Linked DNA regions of Rattus norvegicus. The protein of the gene in region 1 purifies or fractionates together with the protein of each later gene. This does not show direct contact. Links are inferred from orthologs where the notes say so. Each region holds a gene or a part of one and is shown on either strand. Other genes may lie near its edges. The genes, in order: Map3k5, Arrb1, Daxx and Map2k3.

Region 1 (8,070 bases):
GCAAATGAGGCAAAACAGAGGCTCGTCAGACGCCCCCCTGGCTAAGCCACACAAGGGCTGCTCTCAGCACAAACTCCACTCCATTGAAAGCACAACACCACGGATGAAAACTTCAACTAGCACACACTTCCTTCCGGCTCCCCACTACTGCCGCCGCCGCCTCGTGAAAGACGGAGTCAGAGATTGTAATCTGCAGTGAGTCAGCCTAAGAGGAAGGCCCCAAAGATGCAATAATGACTGGTGGCAAGGTAAGGGGAAGTGGGCAGTCCATCTAACCCAGTGCCCACCGAGAGGAAGGTAGGTGGCTTTGAGCCAAGGGAGGTCCCTAAGCCTTACACCAGCAGGCCATGAGAAGGCAAGGCTAGGGAGAAAGCTGAGAGAAGCTCCTCCCGCCAATGCCCAAGACGCAGCCAAGTGTACTGGTGTACACTGAAAAGTGTATCGAGAGCCCAGTGTAAGGGGATCGGAAACATTTCCTGAATGCTCAAAGTAGTGAATGGGTTCCACATGTTTGGGCTACCGAGGCTTCCCTACAGGTGACCTCCAGGACCTGCGGCTACCTGTAACAGCTGATTCTGTGGAAAGATGTGAAGCTCACCTTAAAATCTCACGTTGAGGGGCTGGGGACTTAGCTCAGTGGTAGAGCGCTTACCTAGGAAGCGCAAGGCCCTGGGTTCGGTCCCCAGCTCCGAAAAAAAAAAAAGAACCAAAAAAAAAAAAAAAAATCTCACGTTGACCTGAAGGAATACACAGAACTGTGGTCCGGCGTTCTCACGGGGCAAAGTACAGAGATAACGGAGACCGCTCCGGCAATGCACACAGAGCCAGTGCCCACTAAGTAGAACTGGGAACGACGCTCGGTCGGAAGAGTGCTCGTCAATCCCCTGTGCTACCCCAGCACCTGAGAGATAGAAGCTAGAGGTGTGGACGTCCACGGTCATGCTCCACTGCATTAACCCCACAGAGGCAGTACCTTACACCATCAGAAAGCACCTGTGGCCTTTGCAGACTGTCACTGCCTACCATGCGTGGGGCTTGGGGCAGGTGCGTGGTTTGGCTGGCTATCTGCCGCCTCTGAGTGACACTCTCTTATGTGTAAAGCCGTAAGCATCTTTAAGATGCATAAATATTTCTCATACCGGCATCAACTAAGCATGAATCAGCTCTACCTGACAGAATAGGAAAGCAGCACACATCGTCAAAAGACAAGCCAAGGTAAATAATAATGAAGTCCTAATTCAGGGAACACTTTGACTCCGATGTGTTCTCCAGAAGACACCGGTACACAGAGTAGCAGACGTTCTCACAATACCAGCACTCTTCATTCTGTCGTTCGCTCTAAGCTGGACCACTTGGGCTCTGATCTTCCTTTCATGGCTTTCATGGCTCTGGGCTGCAGCCAGGGGCAGAGCTCCTGTCTGGCGCGCACAAGGCATCGGGGTGGGATTCCTAGCACTGGAGAAGAAATAACTCAACAAGCCCCAGATTGGGCTGTTCTTGCTTACTCTCCCATCTGGCTTCTCTGGTCACCTTTAAAAGGCTACCCTGAGTGCTAGAAATCTCTGGCTTCTGCGGGGGACCCTCACAGGCTCTGTGACAGTCGAGTCACAGGTTCCCACCCTTCCTCCCCACTCTGACCTCCTCGGGACCGAGGACAGGCCCTAAAGGAGCACTTAAGATTCTCCATGAAGTACACTGAGTCATTTGTAGTAATAACGCTGACATTTTTAAAGAACAGACCGCTCCAGCCATCATCTACTCCTCTAAAAGTATGAATTGAGTCACTCGGTATTGCAGAAGAGACTGAACCAGGAGACAGACCCCAAAATCTTGTTACGGTATCCACGCTTTCTCACTTTTCACAAATCCATACAGGATTCAGGGGCAACCTCAGACACGTGATGCTGCTCTCCCTCCACTTCTGCCCTGGTGAACTTCTCAGATAAAGAAGCTCTACTGAAAGGCAAAAAAAAAAAAAAAAAAAAAAGCTATTCTCACGAGAATATGACCCAGAGCAGAACTGGGCAAACACTCAGCTCCACCAGGAGGGGCCATGCCCTTCCAACTGTATCACAGGGATTCAATCCAGGTGAGGTAAGAAAGTAGAGAAAGAGCCAGGCCCAGGGACCTGCCGCTAATTCGCCTAGCCAACCTTCAGGTGAACACCGTTTACCCGTAGTTTTATTATCTACGGTCACACTCTCTTGCTTGCTTGATTCCGTTTTTGTTTCCGAAAAAGAGGTCCCATTGTGTGGCTCGGTGTGGCCTTTGAGTCACTAACTAGCTCAGGACTGACCTCAAACGATCAACGGTACAATCATCTCTTTAGAGAATGTTTGCAGCAGTTCTCACAGCAGAGTTGGAAACCTGTGACAAAAACCTGAAAGACTTCAGAGTCTCGGATACTCAGCTATCTGGCCTCTGACGGGAAACAAAACAAAACAGTTGACAAGCTGTTGATCAACAGTTGACTAGCAGTTGGCGGAAGGAGAGCGATCTCTCTCTAAGACAACAGGGGAGAACCCAAGTAGGCCTACTACCAAAAGCCCAGTCAATGCCTTCAGTTTAGAAAGACGAAAGGTTGGGGAGAACTGGCACCATCTTCATTCCATCACAGCATCACGCTGAATAAGATCTCTTCTAGCTGGGCAGAGATTAGACTCGGGCCTTAATATGTTGAAAGATCCAGTGGGTTGGGAGGATGGCCACCAATGGGGGAGTCCCCAAGAGCACATCCTCTCCACTGTTCCTCCACTGCACCTCAGTGTCTCTGAAGATCTTTGCCCGCTCTTGATCCTGGGATCTGAAATCAGAGTACTTCCCCTGATTCTAAAAGCAAAGACACCCTGCCCAAAGGCAGTCAAGGCCCCTGCGATCTTTTTAATATCAGCCCTGTGCACTGGACAGTTACTGCCTACGAATCCCAGGGCCAGTCTCATCTAATAAGTAAATATTACTCTTGCCCTAGGCCTGGTCCCAGGGCTAAGTGAGATAGAGTTCAAATGTCTGCTCGCCTCTAACGCTTCTCCCTTTCCCAGCGATGGTATTTGGAGAGTAACAGAGGACAGCCTTGTTAGGAAACTTTCCTTCATATTAGCTAAGGGTTTAAGTTTTTTTTTTTTTCCCGGGGCTCCTAGGAAAAATAAGCCCACTCTATCATTGCAATAAAAATAAGCTCAAGTTTTAATTTGGCTTTTTCCCCCTCTCCTATCATTTGGTTCTTTGAAGATTCTTCCAAATTATAATCCAAAAATAAGAGTGCTATAATTTTTAGAAAAGCTATGTTTATTTAACTTTTATAGCTAGCCACCCCAAGAACCAAGCTATAATATTTTATATTCATGTTCAGTTATGAAGACCCAGACTGTTTAAAAAAAAAAATACCCAAACCAGAGAGTCTTAGTTTATTTAGTCTGGCTTCCTTAACATGAAGTTCTTCTTGTTCTTAAAATATTCAGCTCTGGCTGAATTCCAAAGCAGACATAAGCCTACTTCAGGTGTTTTTGAAGAGGCTGTAAGAGAATTAGATTGAAATATAAAACCCGTGATCACAAATGTTAAGAAGCTTACTGTATTTGAAGAATGGAACCAGGTTTCCCACCACAATTATAAAAATTAACACGTCTGTTTACTTGATCCCATTGGATCTCAGTAGCACGCTACCATTCCCAACATTTGCTAACAGACAGCTAATTGGTTCAGTCATTAGGACTCTCTAACAGTTTTGAAATCTGAAATGGACTAAATGGGGAGCCATCCCTCCCCATGTGGATTACTTTAGCAATCACTTTAATGGCCAACCGAATCGGTCATTAAAATTGCATAGGAACTCTTTAAATGATGTTAAACTATAAACTCTTCCACCCACCACAGTATCTGAGGTAATAAAAAAAAAACTGGTTCTTTTGGCAAGACTCTAACAAAGATCACACACATTTGGTGTGTTTTCACAGTACTTTTACTCTAACATGTAGTTATTTGACAGTTTAAAGTGGTAACGAGGACGGGAAACTGAAGCCACCAAAACTCCAAGGTGAAATGAGTTGGGGAAGGTCACGCTACGCTTTGAAAGCTCAAAGGAAACCCTGCCGCATGCTGGCGTTTCTGTACTCCCAAGACTGCACGGCGAACAGAACATCACCTCAGAGGGCCACAGGTGTGTGCAAAAGGAAACCCTAACTATACACTCACTAACTGAAGAGAAGTGACTGAAGAAGTTATTCGCAATGGGGGGGGGGGGGGTGTTTGAGCCTTGCACTTAGACTCAGGGGCTTCACTGCCGGATAGCGAATAAATCAGCGGACCTCCTGCCCAAATACAGCCTCTTGCACCAGCACACCCTCTGCTAGGAGCAGCCGGCCTGAACAGTCCTGCAACCCCTCTCGCCGCTCCCAAGGTGGGGCGTGATGTAAATAGGAAGCTTGCTTCCCGCCCACGAAAAACAAAACAAAACAAAATATTCTCCCAGCCCCACCCCCACGAAGACAGCCAGGGGAAACCCGGTGGGCACCGCAAGGAGCTGCCACTCACCAGCGTTGTAAAAACGGTCCAGCACGGTGGTTTCCCCAAAGTCCAGCTTCCCGAAATGCAGGGTCTCCAGGGTGGCGCCCACCGCCTCGCACGCCTCCCGCAGGCTCTGCAGGGCCTCGCTCTCCGCCACCACCAGCTGCCCCTGGCTCGCCTCGTTGATCACATACGCCACGGTGGTACGCCGGCCGCCCCCGCTGCCAGAGTTGCCCCGGCCTCGGGTGGCGCTGCTCCCGGGGGCGGTGGTAGGGCAGCTGGTGCCAGGAGCCGCCGCGCTCTCCACGTTCCAGAAACTGCCCGGCGGTGGTGGCGGCGGCGGCATAAGCAAGGGCTGCAGGCTCGGCTCGCCCTCCGCCGCCGTCGCCGCTCCTCCTCCCCTCCGGCAGCTGCCGCCCTCCGGGATGGGGCAGAAACCCGCGGACAAAATGGGCGGCACGGAGAAAGTGATGCCCTCGCCGGCTTCGGTGCCCATCTCTACCTGCCGAGCTGCCACGGCGGCGACCCCGGGGTCTCCAGTCCTGACGCACCGTCTGGCCAGCCACAGCTCCGGGCTGCTCCGAGCGCGCCGGGCTAGGCAGCTGCCATCGCGCGCCGCGCCTTCGCCGCCCCGCCGCCGCCTCCGCTCGGGCGCCCGGTCCCCCGGGGCCACGCCGCTGCCCGGCGGCGGCTCGCCCCTCCTCGGCGCCTCCGTGGCCACGCCGCTCGCCCGCTGCAGGGTGGAGAGTCCACGGGGTGGGGACGCCGGCCGCGGCGAGCGGGAAGGGATAGAGCTTCCTCCTCTTGGCGGGCGGACCAGTCGGCGGCCAACCTGCGCAGCCCGGCGGCTCAAGGGCGCCGCGCTGGGGGAGCCGCAAGCTGTCGCTTGCCGAGCGCCGGCCGGGCGAGGGCGCCCTCTGGGTGCTGCGCTACCTGGAGAACACCTTACGCGCGGTGGGCGGGCTGCCCCGGGGCCGCGTCCCGGAACCGCGGTGGCCGCTCCCGAAAGGACCCGCCTCTCAGCTCCGCCGCAGCTCCCTTGCACCGACTCGGTCTCCTCCTTCCTTCCCTTCCTCTTTCACCGGCTCGCCGCGCCCTCCGAGTCCCAGCGACTGTCTCGCAGCCGCCCGTCCTCTCGGCTACCCGCCTCTGGCCGCCCACTCGTTGCTGCACGGAGAGCCAGGGCCCGCCCCTGGGGAGGGAGCTGCTGGGAAGCTGCAGCCTGGACCGAACCCACTGCTCCGGGACCTCAGAGAACCGGGAAAGAAGGCTGAAGCTCCGCGCGCGCCCCGCTGCGGGACGGCGCGAAAGAAGCGTCTCTAACCCGCACGGTCTGGGTCAGCCCGCCAGGCGTTTGCAGCGCTGGGCTCAGCCACGGCGCCTCGCCCGCACGGGTCGGCTGGTGGGCAGCGCGCACTCGGACCGCGCGTGGCGCTGGAAGCCCCGTGGCTACACGCGTGCCGAGAAGCGGGAGGATCCAACAATCGTCCTACAGCCCAGGCCTTAAGTGGAAAGTGGTTTATAAGTGACAGGGGCGCTAAATTTAGAAGTGGTTGGCTAAATTTATCGTGGCAGCCGCTGGTACTTTTCATTGTAAAATTTCCAGTTGCTTACGCTGTTGTCGTTAATGAGTAATTGATTGGCTCCAGGGTGCTGAATGATTTAATATTCTCATATAGCATCCTAAAGACACCCCTCCCGCAAAATGCCACATACCCAAGATAGGAAATACATGGGGAAATTATCATCCAAAGTTGAGACAGTGAAGTCGATCTATTTCATTTTTAAAAACTGAACCACACACAGAAGAAACGGGTGGGTTGTTTGAATGTAAAGAAAAAGGCTCGCGCTTATTTTGGAAGCAAAACCAGATGTGCGAATTCCCAGAGAACTCTGTCGGAATGCTGCAGGTCGTTTTAGGAAAACCAAAGCAAGCTGCACTACGTAAAGGATTTGGATTGCCTAACTTGAGGTTAGTAAGACATAAAAGAGGCAAAATGCAAATTGATGTCAAGCTCCCCCAACGCCTTACTTAACACAGCATTAAGTAAGGGGAATCTGGAGGGAAGGGACACAGTCAGACCAGAGCAATGCCTAATTCTTAAATTTGTTACAGCATTTTATTGATAGTTTCCAAATTATAACGTCCTTTTTTAATAACTTTATTGTACTCCCAAGCAAACTGGAAGCCTGGGAGACTCGTCTGTCCCTCCAATACCTTTAAAACCGTCACCAAGTCCATTTTCTAGTGAATGGCATGGTAACATCCGGACATCACCAGGCTGTTTTACGTGTGCTTCTTAAATTTCCCTGTTTAGATGAGTCTGGAAGGAAAAACAAAAAAAAAAAAAAAACACCGAGAGTCAACACAAGGACCCCATTACACCAGGCAAATTTTATACCTATTAAGAATGGAACTGAGTGCTTAATACATATTAGGGCAAGTATTTTACAACATAGGAATGCAACTAACTTCAGGATTAGGATTCAGAAATCTAAAAGGAATGGGACTGGAGAAATGGCTCTGTGTTTCTGAGGAGAACACTGACTACTCTTCCAGAGGTCCTGAGTTCAATTCCCAGCAACCACATGGTGGCTCACAGCCATCTGTAATAGGACCCTATGGCCTCTTCTGGTGTGTCTGAAGAGATCGACAGTGTATTCACATACAGAAAATAAATAAATCTTTTTTAAAAAAAATTCTAAAGGGAAAAAGTTATAAAATCAATTAACAAAATCTTTCCATGGCAGATGTAGGGTAGACAAATAAAATGTTATCTGACACCAATATATCACAATCATGAGTTTCTAAAAATAGGGAAAAGATAAAAAGAATTTCTATTTTAAGATGTGTTTTATTTGTCTGCCTGCAGGCATTTGCATGTGAGTGCAGGTGAACTTCAAGAGTAGTGGGTGTCAGTTCCCCTGGAGCTGGAGTTACAGGTGGTTGTGAACAGCTCGATGTGGGTGCTGGGAACTAAATTCTGATCGTGCACAAGAGTAGTATGGATTCTTAACTAATGAGCCATCACTCCTGCCCCGAAAAAGGGTCTTTAGAAAGAAACATAAAGTCATATACAATTCATGATCATGGGACTATAAGCGACTCTTGCCTGTGTAAAACGAAATTCTCCTCTATTGGTAACAAGATAAGGACAAATTATAACCACGTTCATTAAATGTCTTGGCGAAATCCTGATGTTTTCCAGCACACTTTTTGAGACTGGATGTAAGAAAATAAGACACTCTTAACTGTAGGCTTACATTTAAAAAAAAAAAAACAAACCTACTTTAATAAGTGTTCTTAAACGCTTCAACCTCCCGTATGGCCCATCAATCAAAGGTAGGGGAGGAAGATGGTTAACAGGACAAGGGGGAGGGTGGACCTGTTGAGAAGTCATTCTTTGGAGTGTTTCCATTCTTCCTTATCAACAATCCACTCAAACCAGCAGCAGTGGCTCTGTCCAGAAGAACCCGAGAGGCCCCACCAGTGGGCACCAGTCTGCTGAAGTAGCAAGAAGCAGCCTGGACGCCTCCAGAAATCCTTCGGTGCATTTCTCTCTACAA
Region 2 (8,057 bases), about 150 Mb from region 1:
CCATTTTCCTCAGCCCAGTCCTGGCTCCTCTGCCACCCTGGTTCCCCTGCCACCCACACGGGTCTCAGCTGTCACCCCTGTAAGCAGTAGAGAGGATAGCCTGGTTGAGGTCATGAGGCCACTCTGACCCTCCCTGTTGCTGTCTTGACCAACACACAGCCCGTGGGAAAGGTCCTGAGGGGGGCAAGTCCAGAACTAAGGACCCCTGACCCCATGCCAACTAGAGGTTTCAGTCTCTGGCTAGGAGGTCCAGACTTGAAAGGAAACAAGCCATCAAAGGAGTCTGCAGCCCAGCAGCCAGCTGGGATTCAGGGACACTAGGCCAGGCTCACAGCCACGCCCAGCAGCAACCCAGGAGCAATCTTGCCAAAGCCACAGGACTTCCCCATGTTCTAGCCAAGATGGGTCACCCAGGGCTTAACCACTTCAAGAAAGACAGCCAAGGTTCACAGAGAGCTGGTGATTGCCTCATTACAGCATCCTCCGTCCCTGAGATGGGGCTGTGGGGAAGAGGGGTGTATAGTGTGTGTGTGTGTGTGTGTGTGTGTGTGTGTGTGTGTGTGTGTGTGTGTGTGTGTGAGAGAGAGAGAGAGAGAGAGAGAGAGAGAGTTCATCAACATCTGCTGCAAAGGAAATTCCACTCCATCCCTCCAGTTGCCTCAAGATGACCCTGGTCACTTTTAGAGTTGGAGGACCAGCTGGGAGCAGTTGAAAGGTCAGCTGTAGATAGGACAAGCCCCTTTCCCTCTGAGTAGACTTATACAGCAACAGAGAGGCCTTGATGGGCAGAGGGACCTTTGTTCAGATGCTAACTGGCTGAACGGTGGTAGACTTGCCTCCTCTTTCCATACCTTTAAAATGGGAACAGCAGGGCTGGAGAGATGGCTCAGTGGTTAAGAGCACTGACTGCTCTTCCAGAGGTCCTCAGTTCAAATCCCAGCAACCACATGGTGGCTCACAACCATCTGTAATGAGATCTGATGCCCTCTTCTGGTGTGTCTGAAGACAGCTACAGTGTGCTTATATATAAATAAATAAATATTTTAAAAAAAAATGGGAACAGCAATTCCTATGCTGCTAAATTGCGGAAAGAATCCAGTGAGACTATGCATACACTTCTTGTATGTGTGCTGATGTGCATGCACATGCATGTTCATGCACATATAGAGGGCAAAAGTTACTATCAGGTATCTTCTTCCAACGCTCTCTATGTTTTGAGACAGAATCTCTCACTGTGAGTGCTAGACTGGCTGGCCAGAGAGCTCCAGAAACATGCCTGTCTGCACATCCCTTTCCCTCCTTTCCCTTTATCCCCACCCCCAGCAGTAGGGTTAGAGCCCACTATGCTCAACTTTTTATGTGGGGTCTGAAGATGCTAATTCATGGCCTCAGGCTTAGGCAGCAAGCATTTTACTGGAGTCATCTCCCCAGCCCCTGTGAACATAATTCTAAGCCCAGAGAGGCAGCAGAGATGCATTCAGCCATCTAGCTTGCTGACCCCCACTTCCTTGATCATATGCTATTGATCAGCCTTAGTTCTGAGCCACGGCCTTGGTTCTGAGGCTCCTTCCTAGAGTGTCTCTGCCTCAAGGCCAGCTCCTCCCTCTGCTGGCCACTGTCTTAAGCACCTGTCTGAGAGGAAGACTTGTTCTTGTCCTCCATTCTCCACCCTCTTCTCCCAGCTGATCCTGGCAATGGAAGAAAAATCCTGTTGCCTTAGCCTGACCTTCCCAGGGCTGGGGATGACTGGCCTGTGTTCCTCTCGCAGGCCCCACCCCCAGGCTTCTCTTCCCACCTCCCGGTCCTTGTACATTCTGCACCCTGGGCTGGCAGGGCACTGGTTGCAGTTCCACTGCTCAGCCTCCTCAAGCTTCTAGGTCAATCTCAGCTGCTTTGACTACCCAGAACAGTTTCGGGTCACATCCAGCTCAGCTCTGGTGTGGATGCCTCTTCCACCTCCCAAAGTGATTGTGTCGTGTACCACCATCACCTGGGAATGGATAGTCTGGGGATTCAGCTCTGGGAACTCCTGCCCCAGGCTACAAAGAAGCCACTCTTTCATGACCTGTGCTCATTGGACCCCTGTTGGTGCTAGCTTGCTCTGCCCTGGGCCTCCTCTCAACCCAGGGGTTTCTGCAAGGGCAGTGACAGTTTTGATTAACGTTCATTATCACTTCCTCCAACCGACAGGAATAGATGTGATGACTCCAGAGCCTAAGAGTATTGAGTATTTGCAATGTCCCTTCCAGGTCTCAAAGCAAAATCTCATGGCCAATGTAACACAATGGAGAAAGCTTCTTACCTTTCATATCCAGACAGATCTAGAAAGAGAAAGGCAGAATTCATGGCTCTAGAGGGGCCCAGGGAGGGGAGGCAAACACGGACAGGTGGAGTTTGTGTAGCTAGTCTGTATTTCCTGGCATAGGCAACTCCTACTCCTATGTCCAGTGAGCTCAGTAAGCTTTTGGGAGCCATGAAAACCAAAGTTCTAATGGCTCCAATGTACAGATGGGAATACTGGGTCTGCCCTTGAGTTAGAAGCACAGCAGGGGAGTCAAGGACAAAGCTGTGGCCTCAGGATTCTCCAACAGGTGTCTGGCAGCCAGAGTGTCCTCCTCCTATGACAATTCAAGGTATCAGGAATCTGTGACACTTCTCCCCTAGTTACAGAGAGGCCCAGCATGGCTGAGTCACCCTGGTCACCAGCAGCACTGGAGAACAAAGGAGAAGTCAGTGGCTGCTGACTCCCTGCCGTGCCTCACAGGGAGCAAAGCTCAACCTTACAGTTCCAGAGAGTCTCAAAGCGGGGAGGGGGATGGGTGTGGCTGAAGAGAGATGCATCCAAGCATCTTTCCTCCAAGGACTGAAGCCTGGGTCACGATGCTGACCAGCCAGCTGCATTGGCCCTCAAGGTGAATGCAAACACCTCATGGCTGTCCGCAGTCTCCCAAAGCTGTGCCTCTGCACCAAGTGAGTCCCTTGCTAGTCTTTACACCCAGGGCCCCAAGGAGAGCCACAAGATACAGTGGGCTGTGGCCTCTGCCCCTTCCTGACCTTCAGCAAGGCAAGTGACCTTTCTCACCCTTCAGTTCCTCTTTGGGGAAACCAGAATAGGAAAATTAACCTCCAGGAAGGGCCATCAATAGGGAGGCTGGTGGGAGGTAGTTTCTAAACATGAGGAATCTGAGTTAGCACTATGCCTCAATTTCTACTCCTGGGAAATGGGAATAACCTCTGTAGCCCCTTTCACTCACTGCTGAAAGGCTCTGGGGTCAGTGGGCAAAAAACCAGTTTGTTTAAGGGCCCCAACATGTGACTGCAGGGATGCTTCCTTTCTGATCATCTCTCATCACCGAGGCTATGCCTAGTATACAACAGGGGCTTAATAAATAAATATCAGAGGAAAGGAAGTGAAGGCAGAGAGAAGAACACAAACATAAGAGTAATAAGGAAAGCAGTGATAAAAAGCAGGTGCAGGAAGACTAGAGGAGGGGCCAGGAAGGGCGGCAAGGAGACTCTCAAGGGCCAGGAAGGTAAACTCTAAGTTGACTAGGGCTGGTCTAGGTCATAAGGATTGACCCCAAGAGCTTCCCTGCCCCTCCCTAGCCTTCCTACTTTGACCTAGTTTCCATTTCGAGGGCCTAACCTTTCCTTTCAAGGCAGGATCTACAAAAACAGTTTCCCTCACCACCACCATCCCCAGCTAGATGTAGCCCCTAGCTATGTGCTTTGGAGGTCAGAGGGGAAGGAAAGCATGTGAATGGGACCTGCCTTCCAGGTCTCAAAGTCTCCCACTCTGACCTGTGTTTCTGGTCTGGCCATGGGGAGTCAGAAGTGAAGTGTATCCACTGCCCTAGAGATGTCAGGCCCTGCAGGCATTTTCTGCTGTGCATGTGCGTGATTGGCCTTGATGTGTCACTAAGACCTGTGGCTGCATCGTGTCATTTCAGAGAGGGTTGACAGACTGCAAGCACTAGCCAGACCGTGCTTTGCAGCATCCAGGTGACAGGATACGTATGTTGGTGTATGCCCAGATGTGCGTGGCAACACGAGGTGTGTTAGAGCTGGTGCGTGTTCCAGTGGGACCTGTGTATGCTAACAGTACTGACAGCAGGAATGTGTTGGCAGACTAGTGTGTGCGTGAGAGACCGCGTGTGACGTTGTCGTGTCACAAATGCGAAGTGTGGCAGCGACTGTCAGTGTGTGCCAGCAGAAGGGTGTTCATGTGTTTATGAGTGTGTGTGTCGTGTGTCAGCCTGCCCCAGAACGTCCTCGAGTCTACCGACCAGCCAGGGCTGGTTGTGTGAGCTCGTCTCGGCCAGGAGCCTTGAACCAAGTGGGGTGGCCCATCCTGGGTGCCTCCGTCCTTACACATGGTTCTGGCCAGAGACCACACAAGAGACTTGGGCGGACAACAGAGTGCCAGATCCCGGGTGACGCTGATTGGAACCTCCGCCCGTGCCCTCGCCCAGGTCGTCCCCACGCGCACGCGGGACAGGGCGGCCACCCGCACTCACCGTGTCCCTTTGTCGCCCATGGTCCGCGGCGGCCGCAGGGAGGTCCGCGGCGTCAGCGTCCAGGCTGGAAAATCCCCGGCCGCCAGGAGAAGCGCGGGCCAGCCCGCTCCCGGCTACCCCGCTCCGCCTCCTCCGCTGTCGCCGCCGCCGCCCCCGCCCGGGTCCCCGCCCGTCGCTCGAGCAGCACAGCGCCCCGGCCGCCGCCAGGGGCGTGGAGCGTGCGGGTGTGAGCGCGCGTGTGTGGCTCCGTGCGCCGCTCTGCGTGTGCGCGCCCAGAGAGTGAGGGCTGGGTGGCCGGCCGCGGCTGGTCCACGAGAGTGCGTGCACGCAAGCGCGTGCCAGTGCTGGTGCGTGTGCACGGCTGTGCGCGCGAGCCTGTCGGGAGAAGGGGGGAGGGGTAGAGAGAGAGATTGTGTGTGTGTGTATGTGTGTGTGTGTGTGTGTGTGCAGAGATAGCACGTCTTTGTGCAGTTGTGCGTGTGTGCTCACAATCGTGGGTGCAAGCGCGCTCTCCCGCGCAAGCCAGGACTGGCCTTTGTGTCTGCGGATAGATGCAAGCGGAAAATCCGCAGACTCCAAGGCCCAGCCTCAGCGGCGCCCCTGTGTGTGAACACAGCAAAAGATTCCAAAAGCCTAGCCAGGCCTTCGCCCTTTGCTCCACCCTCCCCGCCCCCGCCCTTCTGGAGAGATACCACCCAACGGCACAGCGGGGACAGGAAGAAGGGGTGGGGGCGGGCAGCGGACTGCAATGCTGGAGAGCAGATGAGAGTGGAAAGAGGAGGGGAGGGGCAGGCAGAAAGAGGAAGCTGTGAGAACAGAAGATAAAGCAGGGACCAAGAGCCAACTAGCTGGTGACCGGAGCATCCAGCATCATTGCTAGCACCCAGGCCTAGTTTACTTGCCTGCAATGACTCTAGACATCAGCCATCTCAGCCCATTCCAGATCTACTGGCTGGGTCCTAAGACCAGCAGATGCCCTGTTCTATAGGTGAAGGAATTCACTTGTTCTTGCCGGCAGGCACCTGCACACAGTGGTGTCCAGCAGAGCTTACTGTCTGCAGCTTTCTTGCTATCCTTGAAATCTTGACTTTCCCCAAGTTTCCTACCCCTGTGGAAGTAGCAGGTGTGCAGTGGGAGGGTGGAGTCCAGAGGCTAAGGAGGGGTAGGAAAGGGTTCTGGATTTTAATCCATTTTCTCCTGGAAGGGATCTTAAGGGGTTCCTTCTTGCTTTGCAGGAAGTGGGAGAATGTAAGGTCTTTCTCAGCCGCTTGCTGCTGGGGTTTGACTAATTGGCACTGATAGGTCCCTAATATCGGAGTATTAACGATAGGAAAGGAAGCTATCATTTACTCTGATGCAATTGCGGGTCTGGAAACATCTCCTGTAATTATGTTCAGAAGAGTTACCTATGCTGTTTACATAGAGTGTGCTGTTTATAGAGTTGGTAATAATATCCCAGGATAACGACTATAATTATGTCCAGATTGGGGAGGGGTGGGTAGAGGCTAATGGATAGGCAGGGTGGTCCACATCTGGGCAATGGTAAGAGCTAAGTGAAAATGGATTACGGTCTGTAACTTCACCTGCCCTTTCTTAGCCTCTGGGATCTTCCCTTGCTCCAACCAGGGCAGAACAGGAAGCTACCAGATCCTTCTGCAAGGGGTTGTGGGGGGATCTTGAAAGGAACAGAATAGGATCCTCTGTTGATAGCAAGAAGATCACTTTGTGAGCTCAACATCAAGAGGCCTGGTCTTATATTCTCCACACAGGCTTCATGCAAGCCTGATGGTCTCAGTACAGAGCCCAGATGCTCAATGCACATTCAGGCAAACTCTTCATTCTACTTAGTAAGTATCTGTGGTTATGTTATTATAACAAACAATGTTTTCGATTACTTCTCAGTAAACAAACAGCCCAGAAAGATGCACCAGATGGCTCCAGGTAGCCCCCGCCTCCACGCAGCTCTTCCTGGACCAGCTTTGGAAAGCATGGCTCTAACACCGAGGAACACTGAACAGATTGGTAGATGGTGGTATCAACACACAAGGTGTCAAGTGCATCCTCTGTAGCCTGTAAACCCCATGAGGGTGGGTGGTGTGCCTGGTGCTACTTGGCACTTGCAACTCTATGAGCTAAATGCTCTGTTACCTTTTCTAAAATGAATAACCAAACTGGTGCTTGGAGAAGCTAAACTGGCTTGCCCAAATCCGCAGCCTCCTGCTTTTTTCTTTTTTTAATTTTATTTATATGAGTGCTTTATCTGCATCTATACCTGCATGTAAGAAGAGGGCATCAGAACTCCCTGGAGAGAGCTTTAAGCCACCACATGGTTGCTGGGAATTGAACTCAGGACCTTTGGAAGAGCAGCTGGTGCTCTTAACCAGCCAAGCCGTCTCTCCAGTCCCCCACAGCCTCTTCTTGACCTTGGCCTCTCTTTTCCCCAGCTTTCCTCAACAGAAAGCAAACCCAGAGCCAGAATTTGGCTGTTTTTTGTTGCTGCCACTGCTGTTGTTGTTATTGTTTTATTATTGTTGTTGTTGTTTAATTGTTTCTTATGCCAGTTGTGATTCTGGGGGATTTACAGAGCGGTGTCAAGCAGGACAGAGCTTTCAGTGGAGAGAGGGGTCTAGAATGGGGGGCAGAGGGGTCCTTAAGGGGGCACTTTCATCTGTCAGGCCTAAGGAAAGCACTCATATATTCACTCAATGATCAAGATTAATAAAACTGCAGTAGAGGTCATGAGAACTCCATGTCAACAATCCGGTTTTAGTAATAAGTGTCATGAAAGATAAAACATAGTGGCTGGGACTAATGTCCTTAGATAAGATTCTTCAAAGAGGTGACCTTTGGGCAGAAACCTGCACCAAGAAGCCAGTGACTCGAAGGGCTGCCAGCCAAAGGACCAGCAAGGAACCAAGAGGGTGTGTCTGGGCTTGGTAAACAGGCAGAGTGGTTGCAGTTAAGGCAGGCGGCAGTCAGATGACACATGTCTCTCGGTTAGGGGTGAGGTACACAGGAAGCCAATGTAAGAAGAGGGTTTAGGGCTTCAGTGTGTCTAACCTTTGCCCATGGGCCACACGCAGCCAAGAACAGCCATGAATGTGGCCCAACACGAAAACAGAAAGTGCTTTAAAACATGACAAGATTTTTGTGTGATTAGACAAAGCATTTCTGGTGTGTGACCTTTGTAGAGGACAGTACTGGGTCCTGATGTCAAGAGCCTGGACATACCTGCTGAGAATAGCCCCGGCTTCCCTTTCTCCAAGACTGTGCTGCACATTGCTCGATAGAGATGACACGGGAAGGGTAAGGACAGAGGCTGGATGCCCCACTGGTACAGTGTCCTGCTACTACAATGGTTGGGACTAGAGCTGTGGCTGAGGTCGTGGAGAGGAAAGGACTTGCAGCCATACTTGGAGGCTGTATTACAATTTCCTGTGGCTCTAAAAGCACCGTGCCCGAGGTAGCTGAAGGAAAAGACAACTTCCGCTTATGGTTCCAGAGGGATAAGAATTCATGATGGCAGAGCACAGCACGGTG
Region 3 (7,110 bases), on another chromosome or scaffold:
TTCCCCAGGTCTTCATCCTCGTCATCCTCACAAGTCAACACCAGATCTTCCTCCTCTTCCTCATCCTCTAGATCGGGGTCTTGGTGGACCAGCGATGCTGGTGCAGGGCAATTTCTAGCTCGCTTCACATACACCCAGTGTTTCTGTGGCACTGCACTGGCAGGCAGGCAGTTGGGCCTCCGGAGCCCAGCCCCAGGGGCCGCCGCCCCTCTCCCATCCCCACCGTCATCACATAGCTCATCGGCCTCTAGCAGCAACTTCCCAGAGGTGGTACCCGCACTGCCAACCACAGGGACTGGGAACACGGGGCCACCATCTCGACGGTTCCCACTACCCACTGCTGAGGCCACAAATGCATCTTGGGAGGAAGAGGAGAAATCAGTCGACTCCCGGGGGCTGAAGTAGTTGCTACTGCTGGGAGACTGATTCTCACTGGCCCGGCTGGAGGTATGGGAACGTACAGAGCCTACAGTGGCAGGGGCAACGGTGCCCCCGCTCCCTGATGGGACACTGGCACAAGGGACAGAGACAGAGGGGGCTGCAACAGCAGTGACAGTGGTAGTAGCGGCTGAAGATCGACCCTCCCGAAGGAGTTCAGTGCACTTATCCACAATGTGCCACATCTGGAGGACCGACCCCACTGTGAGGAAGTTGACAATGTCCGCAGCAGCCATGCTGAGGCGGCCCGTGTACGCTGAGGCCAGGACAGTCTCAAAAGCGCCTGGGTCCATGACGCTGGGCAGTGAGATGGAAGTCATGCCTTTGAGTAGGACCTGGTCGTGGAAGTAAGGAGAGGAGGCAGCCAAGACGGCCCTGTGAGCACGGAACTCCCGTCCCTGCACGCGGATAGACACATCGCAGAGCTGACCCTGGAGCCGCTGCTGGTTGAGGGACTCCAGGAGGGCACTGGTCACCTCAGGGAAGGACACGTGTACCACTGCAGCTGCCGGCAGAGGCAGTGGTGGTGGAGCCAGTGACAGAGGCAGTGGGAGTGTGGCCCCACTGGGTGACATAGGAGATGGCTCCATGTTGTGGAAGGAGATACCCCCCCAGCCACAGGAACAAAGGAAAGAAGAGGGCGGCCGGGGGGGTCTCTAGGGGGAAAAAAAAGAGAATAATACAGCATTTTGAAAAGACATAGACCATCACAGTATAAAAAAAAAGAAAAATCACTGAGATAAATAGGTACACCTCTCAACCCCATGGGACAGATGGGGCAACTGAGGCCCAGAATTAATCAAGAAAAACATCCAAGTACACCTACCAAACGACATCAAATCAAACCTCAGCGCTAGCAGAGAAAGTATTCCAACTCCAAGTTTAGTACTCTTTCCTAGGTCAGAAAATAGGGGGCTCTCAGGGAATGGGTGTCTATCCTTGTCTACAGCTGCCCCCGAGCCTCACTTAAAAAAAAAAAAAAAAAAAAAACCGCCTCTCCTTGGTGTTACGTACCAATTTTCTTGGGGCGAAGGGGTGTCCTCCACAGTTTTCAAGCTCCTCCCCCGACAGCCCCCAGTTAATTCCCCGACTCCGCCCCTTCAGGACCCTCCAGGGCTCCGCCCCCTAGATCCCCGACCCCGCCTCGTGTTTGCCCCCGCCCCCCGAACCCCGCCCCCCACTCCTCCCCAATCGCGTCCTTGGACTGTCCCCCGGCCTGAGGGGGCCCCCAGCCCCGCGCGCCCCCGCTTACCTGGCCGCGCGCCCCCGGGCCCCCCCTCACTCGGCGACCAGAGCCGCAGCCCCAGCCCCTCCCGCCGCCATCTTGTGCCGACTCCCTCCGCCCTCCGCCTCCACTCCTCCTCCCCGACCAGCGACCTTAAAGGCGCAGGACAGCACCCCTCCTGTGCCGCTGGGGAAAATTCGACCGACACCAACACTTTCCCTTTAAAGGACCGGCTCTTCATTCCTCCTTAAAGGTACCGGGTCCCATCTGCGGCTAAGGACTCAGGAATTGATTTGGCCGAAGCCTTCGCTCCCCTTTAATCCTGCAAGCCTACCTTTTCCCATTGACCAGTACTGGCTTCCGCTCCTCAGGCTCCACCCCGAGCCCTGGACATTAGCTCGCTCGCGGGATCTAACAGCCCTTTTCCCAGCGTATGACAGAACCCCTGAAGCCCCGCCCTCTTCCTCCGGGCCAGGATTGGTCAAATAACCTTGAGTCAGCCCCTGATTGGCCTTTTCACTCATACCGCTCAAAATAAGAAAGTAAAGCGGCTTAAGAAGGCTTCTGAAGCACTTATCTTTCCAAGTGCCTAGAGGGAGGCTCAAAGAAGGGTAAGGATGAGGGCACCCTAAAAAGAGGTCCAGGCTAGAAAGGGCAGATCCAGGTGACAGCTGTCATAGGAGAAAGACAATTTAAGAAAAGAATACAATAAGAAAAGAAATTCATTGTTTATTAATGTGTCTGTGTAAAACTTAAAACATCTGATTTTTTGTCAAAAGAAACACCACCAAAACGGGAGGAGCTCTGTCCATCATTTGCTCCGTCATCTTCTAACAGCCATTAGAAACCCTTCTGGATGCAGGGACTGCTAATCAGAGTCTGAGAGCACGATGATCTCCTCGGGATCGCACTGGGTGGCCACACTCGTCTGCAGACAAGTCAGGAGAGAAGGAAGGGTGAACCAGGCATGATGGCCCACGCCTTTAGTTCCAGCACTCAGGAGGCAGAGGCAGGCATCTCTGAGACTGGGGCCAGCCTTGTTATATACAGAGTTCTGGAACAGTCGGATACATAGAGACCCTGTCTCAAAAACAAAACAAAGCAGGATGGAAGGCTGAAGATGGCTTGGCCACTAGACACACTGCTGCTCTGCAGGAGACCTGTGTTCTGTATCCAAGACTCACATGGCTACTTAGTGCTGTCTCTGTAACTCCAGATCTAGAGGATCAGGCGCCCTCTTCTGGCCTCCATGAGCACCAGACACAAATGTAACACACATACATACCAACAGAACACCTAGTTACATACAATAAATCACTTTTTGTTTTACACGGCCTATGTAACCCTGACTGTCCTGGAGCTCATTCAGTAGACTAGACTGTGGCACTCAAGTTATAGACATCTGTATGCCTCTGCCACCTGGATGCTGGGGCTACAGGAATAAACCACTATGCCGGGCAAAATACATCTAAACACACATAGACAGTCAGTCTTTGAGACTTTGTGGGTTTTTTCCTCCCCTTTATCTACCCCATCACTAGATAGGAAAGAAGGATAGAGGGGAGAGATAGGGATCTCTGAATCTAATTTCTCTCTTCTTTGAGCAAGACTAACATACCACAACCAACCCCTGAGCTCACACCATGCCTCTTGGAGGAGGTGGGGTGGTGGTGGGGTGGTGTCTACCATTTCTACGCTCTCTTGAAAAGTTCCACAATTCCTAACCATCATGTTCACACAACCAAAGCAACTGCCTGTAGCTGGCAAAGCCACAGCTCTGCTGAGCTCAAAGTGAGTCACATTCAGCCACAGTGATCAGTTGGGAGCAGCCCCACATCCCCACACTGGGGATTAAAATGAAAGCCAGCTCTTTCACTGTTTTTGGTTGGTTTTGGGGTTTAGACACAGTTTATCTGTGTAGCCCTGGCTGTCCTAGAACTCACTTTGTAAACCGGGCTGGCCTCAAACTCAAGAGATCCTCCTGCCTCTGCCTCCCAGGATCAAAGGCATGTGTCACCACTATCCAGCTCTGAGTTTTAAGAAACCAAAATTCCAAAACTGTCACTGTACACACATGCACGCACTACCCACTGGCGAATGGGGGAAAAAAGAGGAGGTGCAGCCCCCACAGAGAGTGAGAAGGTGAAAATGAACTGACAGGGGAACCCCCCCCAGCTTACCTTATAAATACAAGGCCGGGGAGACTGAGACTGGGGAGTCTGGAGTATCAGGGATGGAGAAGGGTTGCACAGGGAGCTGGTTACCAGCTCATGGCTGGGAGAGTCCACCCTCGTGGAGGAATCAGCAACAGGACCCACAGAGGCCAAGGGGGAGGACGGAGTAGACAGGACACTTATCTTCCACCCACTGTCCTGCTGTGCCATCGTCTGCTTTTTTACATAGCTAAGGACAGAAGAGAAATGACAGAAGGGGCCTGAGGCCGCAGGGAGACCTAGGACACCAGGTTCCCTTCAGGGAATCCTGCCTCCTTGCCTGCCTTCTTCCTCACCCGACGTTACCTGTTTTCTAACGGCCCAGGTCCCAGTTGCTTCTTTTCCTTCCGAAATCTCTTGCTTGGGGGACTGGCATCTCGACAAGGGTGAGAAGAGACACGCCCATTGAAGGACGTAGAGGTAACCATAGCTGCCCCATTTTCCAAGATGGTGGGGAGGGAACTGTCTGACTTTCTCCTGGAAGAGGAAATGCCCCTTTCCTCAGGGGAAGGGATGGTCTCCTCAGGCAGAGCTTCCATGTCTAGCTCAGAAAGCTGGGACACGGGACTCTCTCCTGCCAGGAGCCGCTCCTGGAGCTGCTCGCCGCTGCTTTCAGCATCGGTGCTGGGAAGGCCCGGGGATGCTTCCAGCGGGGATGCTGGCGTCCCCGTCAGTCCTCTCTCCTGCTGCTCCTCCGGGGACCTGAGCCCTTCTGTGGGTGCTGAGTTCCTTCTGCGGAAAATGGGCGAAGGGGATGTGGGACTTTTATCGTCTTCATTATCTGGAAAAGAAAAGGGGGGGTGGAATGAGGAACAGGGGTGGAGAGAGGAACAGGGGTCGGGGGGCTGTGCAGGGAGGAGGAGGAAGGACAGGATCAACAAGGAGGTCATGTCGGACAGAGCAGAACCTCTACCACAGGGGCGCTCCGGTTATGCATATACCTCCTTCCTCCTCCTCTTCATCATCCTGATCCTCCTGCAACTGTTCTAAATCCTCATCTTCATCTTCGGTGGCCTCCTCCTCCTCCTCTTCCTCTTCCTCCTCTTCATCATCACTTTCCTCATCGTCTTCCTCATCCTCGGTCTCAGCCTTGGGGGTAGTAGGGTCCTCCTGGGATGCCACTCCACTAGGACCCTGGGGGAAAGAGGAGTCCCTCTTAAGGAATCCCTTGCCACACAGGTTTTTGGTAGTATGAGGACTTGACTCTGGGACCTTACTAGTGCTACCCAAGCACGTCACTAATCTTCTTTCCCTGCTTCCATACGCTGCTCCAGGAGTCACCAGGGGGTCCCTGGTGGCAGTGCAGGGTGCAGACAAGATTTCTCTGACAGATGACAACCCTTCCATACCTCACCGGAATCCGAGGAGGCTTTGGGGAGGTCTGAAGATTGGGAAGTGGCTAAGAGCCGGGCCCGTCTCTTCTGTCTCTCCCCCTCCTCACTCTTGTCTTGCATCATGGCATACTTGGAGATGACCTCATCCAGCCGGCTCATGGCCAAGGTTCGATTCTCCCGAAGGCGGCGAGCCAATGTGGGATCGGTGAGTGCGGGGTCAACGCCTGTGTGGGGAAACAGGGTCAGAGCAGTCAGTCCCAATCCTAGAAGGGATTAGAGCTGCCTCTGTTCCACCTGAAATCATCCCAGGAGCTTCCTACCTGGCCTATAGTCATCTGTGAGGTGGCAGCCAAAGTTATAGATGAGATCCAGGTGGCGGCGCTCCTGTAACCTGACACCCACATCCCGGAAGGCATCCTGAGCCAGGAGCTGAAGCTGCTGTCTGGGAAGGCCCAGACTGTGCCGGGTCGCCGCCTTCTCCACCGCTCTCAGCACATCTCCATAGTCCGGAAACGTGTCAGGCCCCGGCTTGTTGATGAGCCGCTCGATGCGCCTGTTGACCTCTGGGTATCGAGTGCCTCGGTAAGGAATTCGCTGCTCTATGACCCTCCCAGTCAGAGAAGAGCAGTCCTTCAACTCGCACAGCCGCCCAAAGAGGCGGATCAGTTTCCGCTTCAAGCGGGCCTCCTGCAAATAGGAGGAGTCGGGATCATCCAGTTCTGACAGATCCAACTCCTTTTCCTGCAGCCGCTGTATCTCTGCGACATACAGTGCCAGCAGCTGCTCCAAGCGCTGGATCTGCCTCCGGGAGCCTCGAGTCCTTGAGGCCTCAGAGGCAGTGGTTTCGGTGTTTGTAAGGTCAGACGGGGGATCTGTGGGAGGGTTATCACCCGATGATTCCGCTGAGGCTGCGGGAGCTAAGTTCAACTTCTTCTTGATGGAATGAGCTTTAAGGACAGTGCAGAGCTCGTTAATGTAGACGTAGAGCTTCGCTGGCCGGTTCCGAGACCGAGACAGAACCCTGGAGAGGATGTTGCGGAACTCTGCAGAGGCCAGAAAAGCGGACTGAGCACGCTGCTGCAGTTTGTGGAGGAACGGAACCACCTCAGGGTGGTCCGATGTCTGCATCTTACACAGTTCAAGGAACTAAACGGTTCGGGGGAAGGGACGGGAAAACCAAAAAACCAAAAAAAAAAAAAAAAGAGGGAATCAGTGAGGAAGCCAGAACAATCAGCCAATCAAACACCCCTTTCCTTGGGATCTGCCCAATCACATCATAATGGTTCACATCCTTTTCTTTTTTTCTTTTTTTTTTTTTTTGGTTCTTTTTTTCGGAGCTGGGGACCGAACCCAGGGCCTTGCGCTTCCTAGGCAAGCACTCTACCACTGAGCTAAATCCCCAACCCCCACATCCTTTTCTTAAAAAGATGTATTCTATATATGAGTACACTGTAGCTGTCTTCAGACGCCAGAAGAGGGCATCAGATCCCATTACAGATGGTTGTGAGCTACTATGTGGTTTCTGGGATTTGAACTCGATACCTCTAGAAGGGTAGTCAGTGCTCTTAACCACTGAGCTGTCTCTCCAGCCCAGTGATTCACATCTTGAATCCCAGCTGTCAGGAGGCAAAGGCAAGTAGAACTCTGTGAGTTCAAGGCCAGCCTCATCTAGACAGTTCCAGGCAACCAGGGCCACAAAGCGAGACCCTTCTCTTAAAGGAAAGGGAGCCTTCCCTGAAGCTTACCTCTTCAAACAGCTTCTCATTCTCCAACTTGTAGCACTTCCTGCTACCTGAGTTACTGCTCCCTCCATCCCCATGGGACTCAGAGGGACCAGAGGCTTCTGGTCCTGGTGAGACAGGATTAGAGGCTGGGTTGGAGGGTCCTGGCTGAGCAGCTG
Region 4 (7,916 bases), on another chromosome or scaffold:
ATGAAATAGCAATGAAAATAATTGGATGCCGGGGGTCACCACAACATAAGGAACTATGTTAAAGGGTTGCAGCATTAGGAAGGTTGTCCTAGAGGCTGGCAAACTGTGGCTTTCTGACCAAAGAAGCCTTGTGTCACAAATCCCATGAGTACATCATCAGAGGCCATGTATTCACCTCCCAATGAGAAACAGCCACAATCCCAACAATTAAATAATGACAGATGCCATTTGTTTGGGAAACACTATCTCCCATCTTTACTACCACCCTGCAGGGAAGAGGTGCTTCCTCCCACTGCCCAGAACAGGACTGAGAGTCAAAGAGGATATGCCATTTGACCAGATGAGGAAGTAAGAGCCAGGATGGGATCCTAGGCCCATTATAACATAGCTACAATGCCCAGAACCTGACACCTATTCACTGGATAAAGACCATCTGCATCCAAACAGGCAACACACCCATGCTCATTTTGCTGGGGGTTAGGCTGGGGTTGGAGGGGGCGCATTTCGGCTTCTTCTCTGAAAGATGCCCCATACTCACAGGACTGAAACCTATACAAAGTATCAAGACTGTACTGGATACAATTTGTTCAACGTTACATTGCAAAATGGGCAAAGTAGGGATCTGACCCTAGGCAGTTCAAGCTAGCTGACCCTGCAAGGCCACTGCTCCTGGCTTTCACCAGGTCTTGTTCCCTGGGCCAGGGGCAGTCAACAACAGCTCTTATGTGGTGAGCAAGAGGAAGCAAGAGTCGTTTACCTAACAGAGGAAGTTCCTGGACAGGACAGGAGGATCTGCCCAGAATCCCAGCTTAACGGAAAGTCCAGAGCAGACCACCTGTGGTATCCAGCCCAGGACAGGGGCAGCCTACAGGTGGAGGTATGTAACCCCTGCCTGGCATTGCCCCTTTAAGCTATAGGCAGTGACTGGCATGCCTGTGGTGAGTCAGCATACAGCGCCTGCTGACTCACCCACCGGAAGCCTGGCTGCCTCTCCCCACACAGGCTGACTGGGAACTTTACTGCCTTCAGGCCCTGAGCCACAGGCTGGCTGATAGAGAGTTTCCTGTGCGTCACACCAGGACTGGGGGAAGTCCCCAAGGTGCCACCCTCTAGTCTTTCCAACTCCCAGGACAGGAGGAAAGCTCTAACCATAGCAGGCAGGACCAGGACAAGACATTCAGTGCTCCCCAGCTTCCCCGGGCTGCCAGAGACACCAGCCACCAATGAGCTCCAGAGGTGACACCTCCAGTAGAATGCCAAAGGCCATCCCTGACAATATGTACAAGGACAAACATGTCATGCAAACCCAGATCACCCTGACTACATGTGCCCCTGTACTAGCTGCCCTTGGCCTCAGATGGCAGGCAGTGACCCACTAATGAGCAAGGAGACAAGAGAAGCCAACCAAGTTGTGGGACCTACATGCCTCACACATGTGGGAGAACTTCCTAGGCTCGGGCACAAACAGCAGGCACAACCGTCCAGTGGGAAGTTCATAGATAAAGTTGCAGTCCCCGCCAAAGGTCAGGTGCTACCACTCCCTACTCTGTTCAAAGTCCTCTGCAAACAGGCTAGCAAGATGGCCCAGCAGGTAAGAGTACTTACTGTCAAGCCTGGACAACCTAAGTTCCATTCCTGAAACCCACATGATGGAGGGCTAATCCACATGGCTGAACTGAGAGAACTGACACCCACAAAGTATACTGACCCCATACATGTGCTATGCTGTGGCATGTATGTATGCATGTGTGTGTGTGTGTGTGTGTGTGTGTGTGTGTGTGTGTGTGTGATTTTTTTTTAATTAAGTCGCCTGCAAAGGTGGAAAAGAGTTCCTGTCAGGATCCATAATGGTGTGGACTCGCCAAGTTCTCCACTTTGCATCTGTTGCAGGCTCACATTGAGGGAAGTGTCCACTTGTAAGACTGCGTGCACAATAAGTGGTCCTCTGCTTCAGCAGACTCCATGGTCCAGTGAACATAGGGGTGATGGCCAGGGGGCCAGGGTACCAGTGTCCCATGGACCCCCTAAGCACCTCACATGGGAATGGGAATGGAAGGAACACTGGGGAGATCATCATTGAGTCCTGCTGTAGCTCTGCTGGGCCATCATAGCTGTGTAGCCTCTGTAAATGGTTAGTGTTCCTGAGCCTCTGTTCACAGGCAAATGAGTAACAAACAAAGCAATGGCAAAAAGAAAAGGAAAAGCTCTTGGAACTTTAGCAAGTGGATATTGTCAGTCCCTCACTACAGCTATCTCCAAACCCCTAAAAGGCTACAGGGATCTTGGGCCTTGGAAAGGACCTCCGCCCAATCCATCCAATATCATGTTACCTAACCTACAACCTGCAAATTCACACTAGCCCTCTCAGAAGAGAGGCCCCGGGCATCCAGTGCCAGGCCTCAAGTCAATCGAGCACATGAAAAGTCCACCGTCTCCCTGCACAGTGCTTTGCAATGTCACTCACAATCTCTCCCCCTGTGATTTGCAACTGCAACTTTTATTTTGATGAGGCATCTCTTTGCCTGGAAGAGCTGAAATGCCTCCAAAACAAACACTGCTTCCAAACCCTTCCTGAGTGGAGCAGCATCTGATTTCCTGGTTCTCAAGTTCCACGAGGTCTGCACTGCAAGTCCCTCCCCAGCCACCTCCCCCAATAAGTGCCTCCCTAGTTACTCACAGAAGTTGGGCAATGGTCAGGGATCTGGCCTCCCACTTATGTAAGACGCAATTACCCCGCCCACTAGGCTCCTGCACAGCCATGGCGGCCAGCTGCAGGGGACCCAAAAAGCCCCCACCTGCTCAGGACAACCTGACCAGGACTAGGACTCCTGAGGTCAAGGTTTCCTAAGTCAGAAGGAGAGAAGGCTACCACTGCACAAGCACCCTCTTAAGTGCCCACCATTCCTGTCCTCTGTGCTCTGCCCCTGCAATCCAAATCTGAGCCCAGACCCCACAGGGCTGAGAAAGCTGGAAACAGTCAAGGATGTGCAGCAACTATTTTTCCCCTGGGTACCTACTATGTGCCGGGTGCTATGTTGGGCCCTTGATCATCTCAGACATGCTTGCTTCAAATCACTCTACCTTCAATCTCACATCGCACCCCTGATATCCATTTCATTAATAAGGCCTAGACATGTCCAGAAACTAGCCAGGTGAGGCAGCCCAGGATGCAGAGGGTCAACCCATTCACATCTACAGTCCAGCTTGGAACTCTTTTCTGCAGCCCAACCTACTGAGTCTCTGACATGTTAAAACATCCTTCTCTCTTCCTGGAAAAAAAAAAAAAGCTTTCTGACCTCCAAATCTTGTCCCCCTCACTTCCCATGACAAATGCTGCTGCTGCAGCCCACGCAGCTCTACTGCCACCTCACAGAAATTTCCAGGAAAGACAGTTAGTTACTTGGAGAAGACAAGCCCAAGCCTTGTACAGTCAGCCCCTGGCCTGCTGTTTGCCCAAGGACCAAACTGCAGGTCTAAGAGCAACAGACTAAGAAACACTAGGTGCAAAAAAGAGGTCAGCTCCTAAAACTCAGTGAGAAGATTGCAACTGAGTCAACAAGTAGCAGGTAGCATGGGCTGAGCTGCGAAGTGGAGACGCCAGGAAGTTCTACAGGTACAGCGGTAGGGAGGAGTGCAGGCGGCCAGTGTGCAGGCCAGCAAGGCATGGGGCAAAGGAGGACTCACAAGGATGGAAAGAGTTGGAAGAGAGGAGTTCTGAATTCAAGAGTAGACAGGTTTCCTGCATTGGGAACACAGCCCTGGGGCCCAGAAGAGAGTAAATTCCAGCCTGAACAAAATCCAAGAGTCTGGCCTGAGGGGGTTAGTGCAGCCGAAAGACCCTCTAGCAGGGATCACAGAAATCCCAGCTGAGTCCAGGATGAAGCCCGGAAGCCTGGACAAGAAAGAAGCTCACGGTGCGGCTCCAGACTTGGAGTGGAGTAAGGAGAACAAGGTCCTGCCTGGGTGAAATCCCACGGCCTAAGATCCGAATTCCAATGAGGTCCCGTGAGGTCCCGGGCTTGGCTTGGGCTGGACCCAGTCCTGGGCTGGAGTCCGGGTGCCTGTGCCCAGCCGGGAAAGGAGTCCAGGGGCACGGGCGGGCTCAAATTGAATGTGGCTCGGGCCGCGCGGTAGGGCGGGAGAGCCTACCTTTGGTCTGAGGCAAGCTGGCCGGCGGGCTGGCGGCGGGCGACTCCATGCTGCGGACCGTCGCGGAGGAGAGCACTAATCTAGAGGACAGCAGACTACACCGGGGCCGGGCGCGCTCATGGTTGCTGGTGGCTGGCAGCGGCGGCAGGCGATGGGCGACAGGCGACACAGACGCGACAGTTCCAAGCGTCCGAGGCGGGCGGCGCCACAGCCACACTGGGCAGCGCCGGACGCCTACCGACGGCGCCACGTAGGCCCCGCCCATCGTACTGATTGGCCCGCCTGAAAAGGCCCCAGCCTATCAAACACCGCCCGGACTGTCACGTACAAACCCCACCATCCAACAGCCGGAATCCAAACCCCCACTTTTCTAGTCCAGCCCGGCTCCGCCCTCTTGCCATCAAGATGACAGCCCTACCCACTCGCGGGATTGTGCTGGCGTGGTCCTGGGTGCCCCAGCCTGTGCCCCCCTACGGCGCAGCGTGTGCCGGTCGTAATCTGGAAAATCCCAAACTCTCTAGAGTGCGGAGCCAGGCCGATGCACTCGGTGGGGTTAAAAGTGCTCCCTGAGTGAGACTGGACTCCTAAATGGCTGAGCCATACCGAGGGTGAGCGTCCATGTGCTCCCCTGAAGAGAGCGGCGACCACCGGCTTGCCTCCTAGGGCAGCAGGAAAAGAGCGATCCCACGGCGGGCGCGTGCCAGGTGAGTGTTCACCGACTGTGGGAAAGAGTTTACTGCACCTTGCTGAACGAGCACGCGTTTAAGTCCAGTCTCTGAGAGCACTTGGCACGCCAGCACCTAGGGAGCAGGGAATTCAGTGGCTAACCTTTGCCTAGTGACAAAGTAACTGTTTTGGTTGTAACATTATAGCAGCTCTACGTCCTGGGCCCCCGGATAGTCTCAGATTAAACAAAGTGTCATTCCAAACATTGAAATACCTTTGGCCAGCCTTGACTGGGGTTCCATCTCGGCAGTTGGTCGCTGAACCTCTGTCCTCACACTAGCCAGAAATCTCTGGGGTCAGTTAGAAACCTAGGTCTAGTGAAGGCAAGAAGCACAAAGTCAAGTAGTCAGTCAGAGCTCGAGAGCTCGAGTAAGTCTTAGCTCTCTGGCCAACACTCAGGCCCCGAATGCCTTGCTTGCATATTTGGTTTCTACTATAGTCCTCTTCCCGTGTCACCTGCCCCTCCCCATTAAGAATCCTGAATGTCTCATCCCCTGCTGTATCCCAAGGCTTAGCCCAGAGCCATGCACATAGTAGGTGCCTAAGAACTATTCAAGGAATGAACAAAGGAAGTAGGAAAAGCATGCCACAGACATGGGTAAAGTGACTCTAGTCCCGTGCCAGCCTCCCAGGCACCAGGGTGACTCAGACAAGGCCCTCAAAACAGGAGGAGTTTAATGGGTTAGTCAGAGAACTTGACAAACAGCCCAGGGATCACAGACTCCATTGGGGTGCTATAAATAGATACAAGAGTCCTAAGAAGAGGCCCTACCTCACCTGGGTGGGGTCAGGGAAGGTGACCTTCATGGACTAGTAGCCAGGAAGAGAGGTCAGAAACCATCCTTGGAAGAAACGGAAAGGTCAGCCCAGGGAGTGGAAATCTGCTCAGGAAGCCAGGTTAGGCTACACCTGCAAGCCGGTCAGCTGCTAGAATGAGGGGCATGACGGAAAGCCACCAAACTTTTTTCTTTCTGATCACCTTTGGCAACATCTGCTACCCTCCTGTCCCTAAGTGGCACAGTTAGGCCGGGGGAGTACATGACCACCTAGACACTGGCCAGAGCATTAGACTCAGATCCCAGAAAGCTGCCTCTTACCCTGACTCCCAGGAGAGCAAACCCCCTCTATGGAAAACTGAAGTTTGAAATGGGAAGGGCTCAGTGTTAGCATGTGACTGTGAGTTGAAGAAAGGGGGTGATCCACACCTGGGGTTTGGGGGAGCAACTCACTCATTAGGATCAACAATGAACAAAACAGATACAACTCTGCTCTCAGAAAGGAATGGACTTCCAACCTAGGTTAAATGATAGTGTGTCTCGGGTTGACAAATGCTGTGGGGGAAAAAGGAAAGAGGCAGTGTGTCCAGAGGTGGGAGTGTGATTGTAGTGACAGCATTCAGGAAGAGCCTCCCTAAAGGTGCCACAGAAGCAGAGACTTGAAGAAACAAAAACAAAGGATAAGCATTTCCAAGACAGGGAGAAAACCCCAAGCTAGTGTCACCGCTGGTACGATCAGAGGTGAGAGACTCTCTTAGATGCAGCCCTTCCAAATGCTGTTAATCTTCACCCCTTGCACTGGTCATACACCCCAAGCACACATGAATTCCCATGAGATGCACAGTGTTTGTATGCATTTAGCATGGCTGCACAGAGGCAGGCCTGTTGACAGGCACAGCGGTCATGCACAGCCCTGATTGTGTGTGCAGTGCCCTGCCATCTGCAGAGCCTCCGAGGCTTGCTGACCTGGTGTGGGTGCCTTCAAGTGACTATCGTGGCTGTGCTGTGTGGGTGCCTGGCTCGGGATAAACTGATACCATCTGTGCTTTCCTGCTATCCACCTTTCTCACCTCCATGCTAATTGCTGCAGATGCTCCACAATGCTGCAAAGAGCTTTCCTAATGGGGCTGGCCAAGTTCAGACCTTTCCTGGTTCCCTAGGTAGGAATTTCCAACCTTCTGGCCCTGTTGACATATCAGACACTTCAAAACCAAGCTTTCCTTCTTGATCCTGTCTTTTCAAAGGCTGTTCCCTCAGCCAGGAATGTCCTTCCCTTTCTTCATCTGATGCCTTCCTACCCTCCTTTCTCTGCCATGTGAAACAACACAGGGGATACTTACCTCTTAGTAAGAATTTTTTCACCTGCTGTATTTAAATTAAGTGGCCACCATTTTGAAACATTGCATGATAATTCCATACGTGTAACATGACACTACCTGTACAATAGCAAGTGCCACTTTTACAGCCCTACCTACTGTATGTTAGTCCTTCATGCAAACTCCTGCTGAGGCAAGCTGTAGGGAGCTGCACCACACTTGGCTACTGGCCTCCAAGGTGCACAGTAGGTGCTCACTGAACACTTGGAGCACACGCTTCCCAAGGAGGTGCACATTTTCACGAACACAGAGCAGAATAGAGAGCAGAGGATTGCCAGGCAGTGGTGGCACACACCTTTAATCCCAGCAGTTGGAGGCAGAGGCTGGCAGAGACAAAGAGAGAAAAAAAAGAAAGAGAGAGGGAGAGAGGGAGGAAGGCAGAGACTGATACCTGCACACGCACAGGACCAGTGCAGTGTGACAGGGCTGTTTTTCAAACTCCAGTCTGGCAGATCATGACACCGTCACCTGCCTTTTGCTGCCCCTGCTCTCATTAAAATGTACCACAGTCCTCTTCTGAGCCACACAGTTTTCTCTGAGTTTCTTCCATGGCCTTCTAGAAAGACAGTAGCTCTTTACCCTTGAATCTGGACTACCCAGGTCCTTACAGGGTTATGTAGAGCTCTCTGGCCACATCAGGAAAGAGTTCCAGGCTGAGAGGTGTCCAACACTGTCCTTTCTGTATGGGACAGAGAACACAAGCACCTGTTGCCTGCCAGGCCTCACACCTTGGTGAAGCTGACATAGTTGAAAATTCTTCTTCCAGATGCGGAAAGGGTCTCATGGCAGGGAGGGAGCAGGCCAGATTCTAACCCAAATGATTGACAGTGTCTCAAAGTACCAGGTAGGGCCTTATACCAGAGTGCTTATCCTGCTGTCTGGAATCCAG

The links.
Region 2: the proteins of Map3k5 (region 1) and Arrb1 purify together in Homo sapiens (affinity purification with western blotting; 3 studies listed by BioGRID and IntAct, with this or other methods). This does not show direct contact. The link is inferred for Rattus norvegicus from reciprocal best matches to the Homo sapiens genes MAP3K5 and ARRB1.
Region 3: the proteins of Map3k5 (region 1) and Daxx purify together in Homo sapiens (affinity purification with western blotting; 7 studies listed by BioGRID and IntAct, with this or other methods). This does not show direct contact. The link is inferred for Rattus norvegicus from reciprocal best matches to the Homo sapiens genes MAP3K5 and DAXX.
Region 4: the proteins of Map3k5 (region 1) and Map2k3 purify together in Homo sapiens (co-immunoprecipitation; 4 studies listed by BioGRID and IntAct, with this or other methods). This does not show direct contact. The link is inferred for Rattus norvegicus from reciprocal best matches to the Homo sapiens genes MAP3K5 and MAP2K3.

Annotation. Positions count from the first base shown.
Region 1 is NC_086019.1:16,502,893-16,510,962, reverse strand, and holds the start of Map3k5 (mitogen-activated protein kinase kinase kinase 5), read right to left. Parts: upstream 5,000-8,070; coding exon 4,531-4,999; intron 1-4,530. UniProt on the Homo sapiens protein: Serine/threonine kinase which acts as an essential component of the MAP kinase signal transduction pathway. Plays an important role in the cascades of cellular responses evoked by changes in the environment.
Region 2 is NC_086019.1:163,246,728-163,254,784, reverse strand, and holds the start of Arrb1 (beta-arrestin-1), read right to left. Parts: upstream 4,570-8,057; 5' UTR 4,538-4,569; coding exon 4,518-4,537; intron 1-4,517. UniProt on the Homo sapiens protein: Functions in regulating agonist-mediated G-protein coupled receptor (GPCR) signaling by mediating both receptor desensitization and resensitization processes.
Region 3 is NC_086038.1:4,969,606-4,976,715, forward strand, and holds the end of Daxx (death domain-associated protein 6), read right to left. Parts: coding exon 6,956-7,110; intron 6,357-6,955; coding exon 5,531-6,356; intron 5,435-5,530; coding exon 5,226-5,434; intron 5,011-5,225; coding exon 4,818-5,010; intron 4,658-4,817; coding exon 4,183-4,657; intron 4,067-4,182; coding exon 3,844-4,066; intron 2,744-3,843; coding exon of another isoform or gene 2,660-2,743; exon of another isoform or gene 2,592-2,659; coding exon 2,532-2,591; 3' UTR 2,368-2,531; downstream 1-2,367. Other genes in the region: Zbtb22 (zinc finger and BTB domain-containing protein 22), read right to left, coding at 1-1,028. UniProt on the Homo sapiens protein: Transcription corepressor known to repress transcriptional potential of several sumoylated transcription factors. Down-regulates basal and activated transcription.
Region 4 is NC_086028.1:46,104,083-46,111,998, reverse strand, and holds the start of Map2k3 (dual specificity mitogen-activated protein kinase kinase 3), read right to left. Parts: upstream 4,361-7,916; 5' UTR 4,199-4,360; coding exon 4,150-4,198; intron 1-4,149. UniProt on the Homo sapiens protein: Dual specificity kinase. Is activated by cytokines and environmental stress in vivo. Catalyzes the concomitant phosphorylation of a threonine and a tyrosine residue in the MAP kinase p38.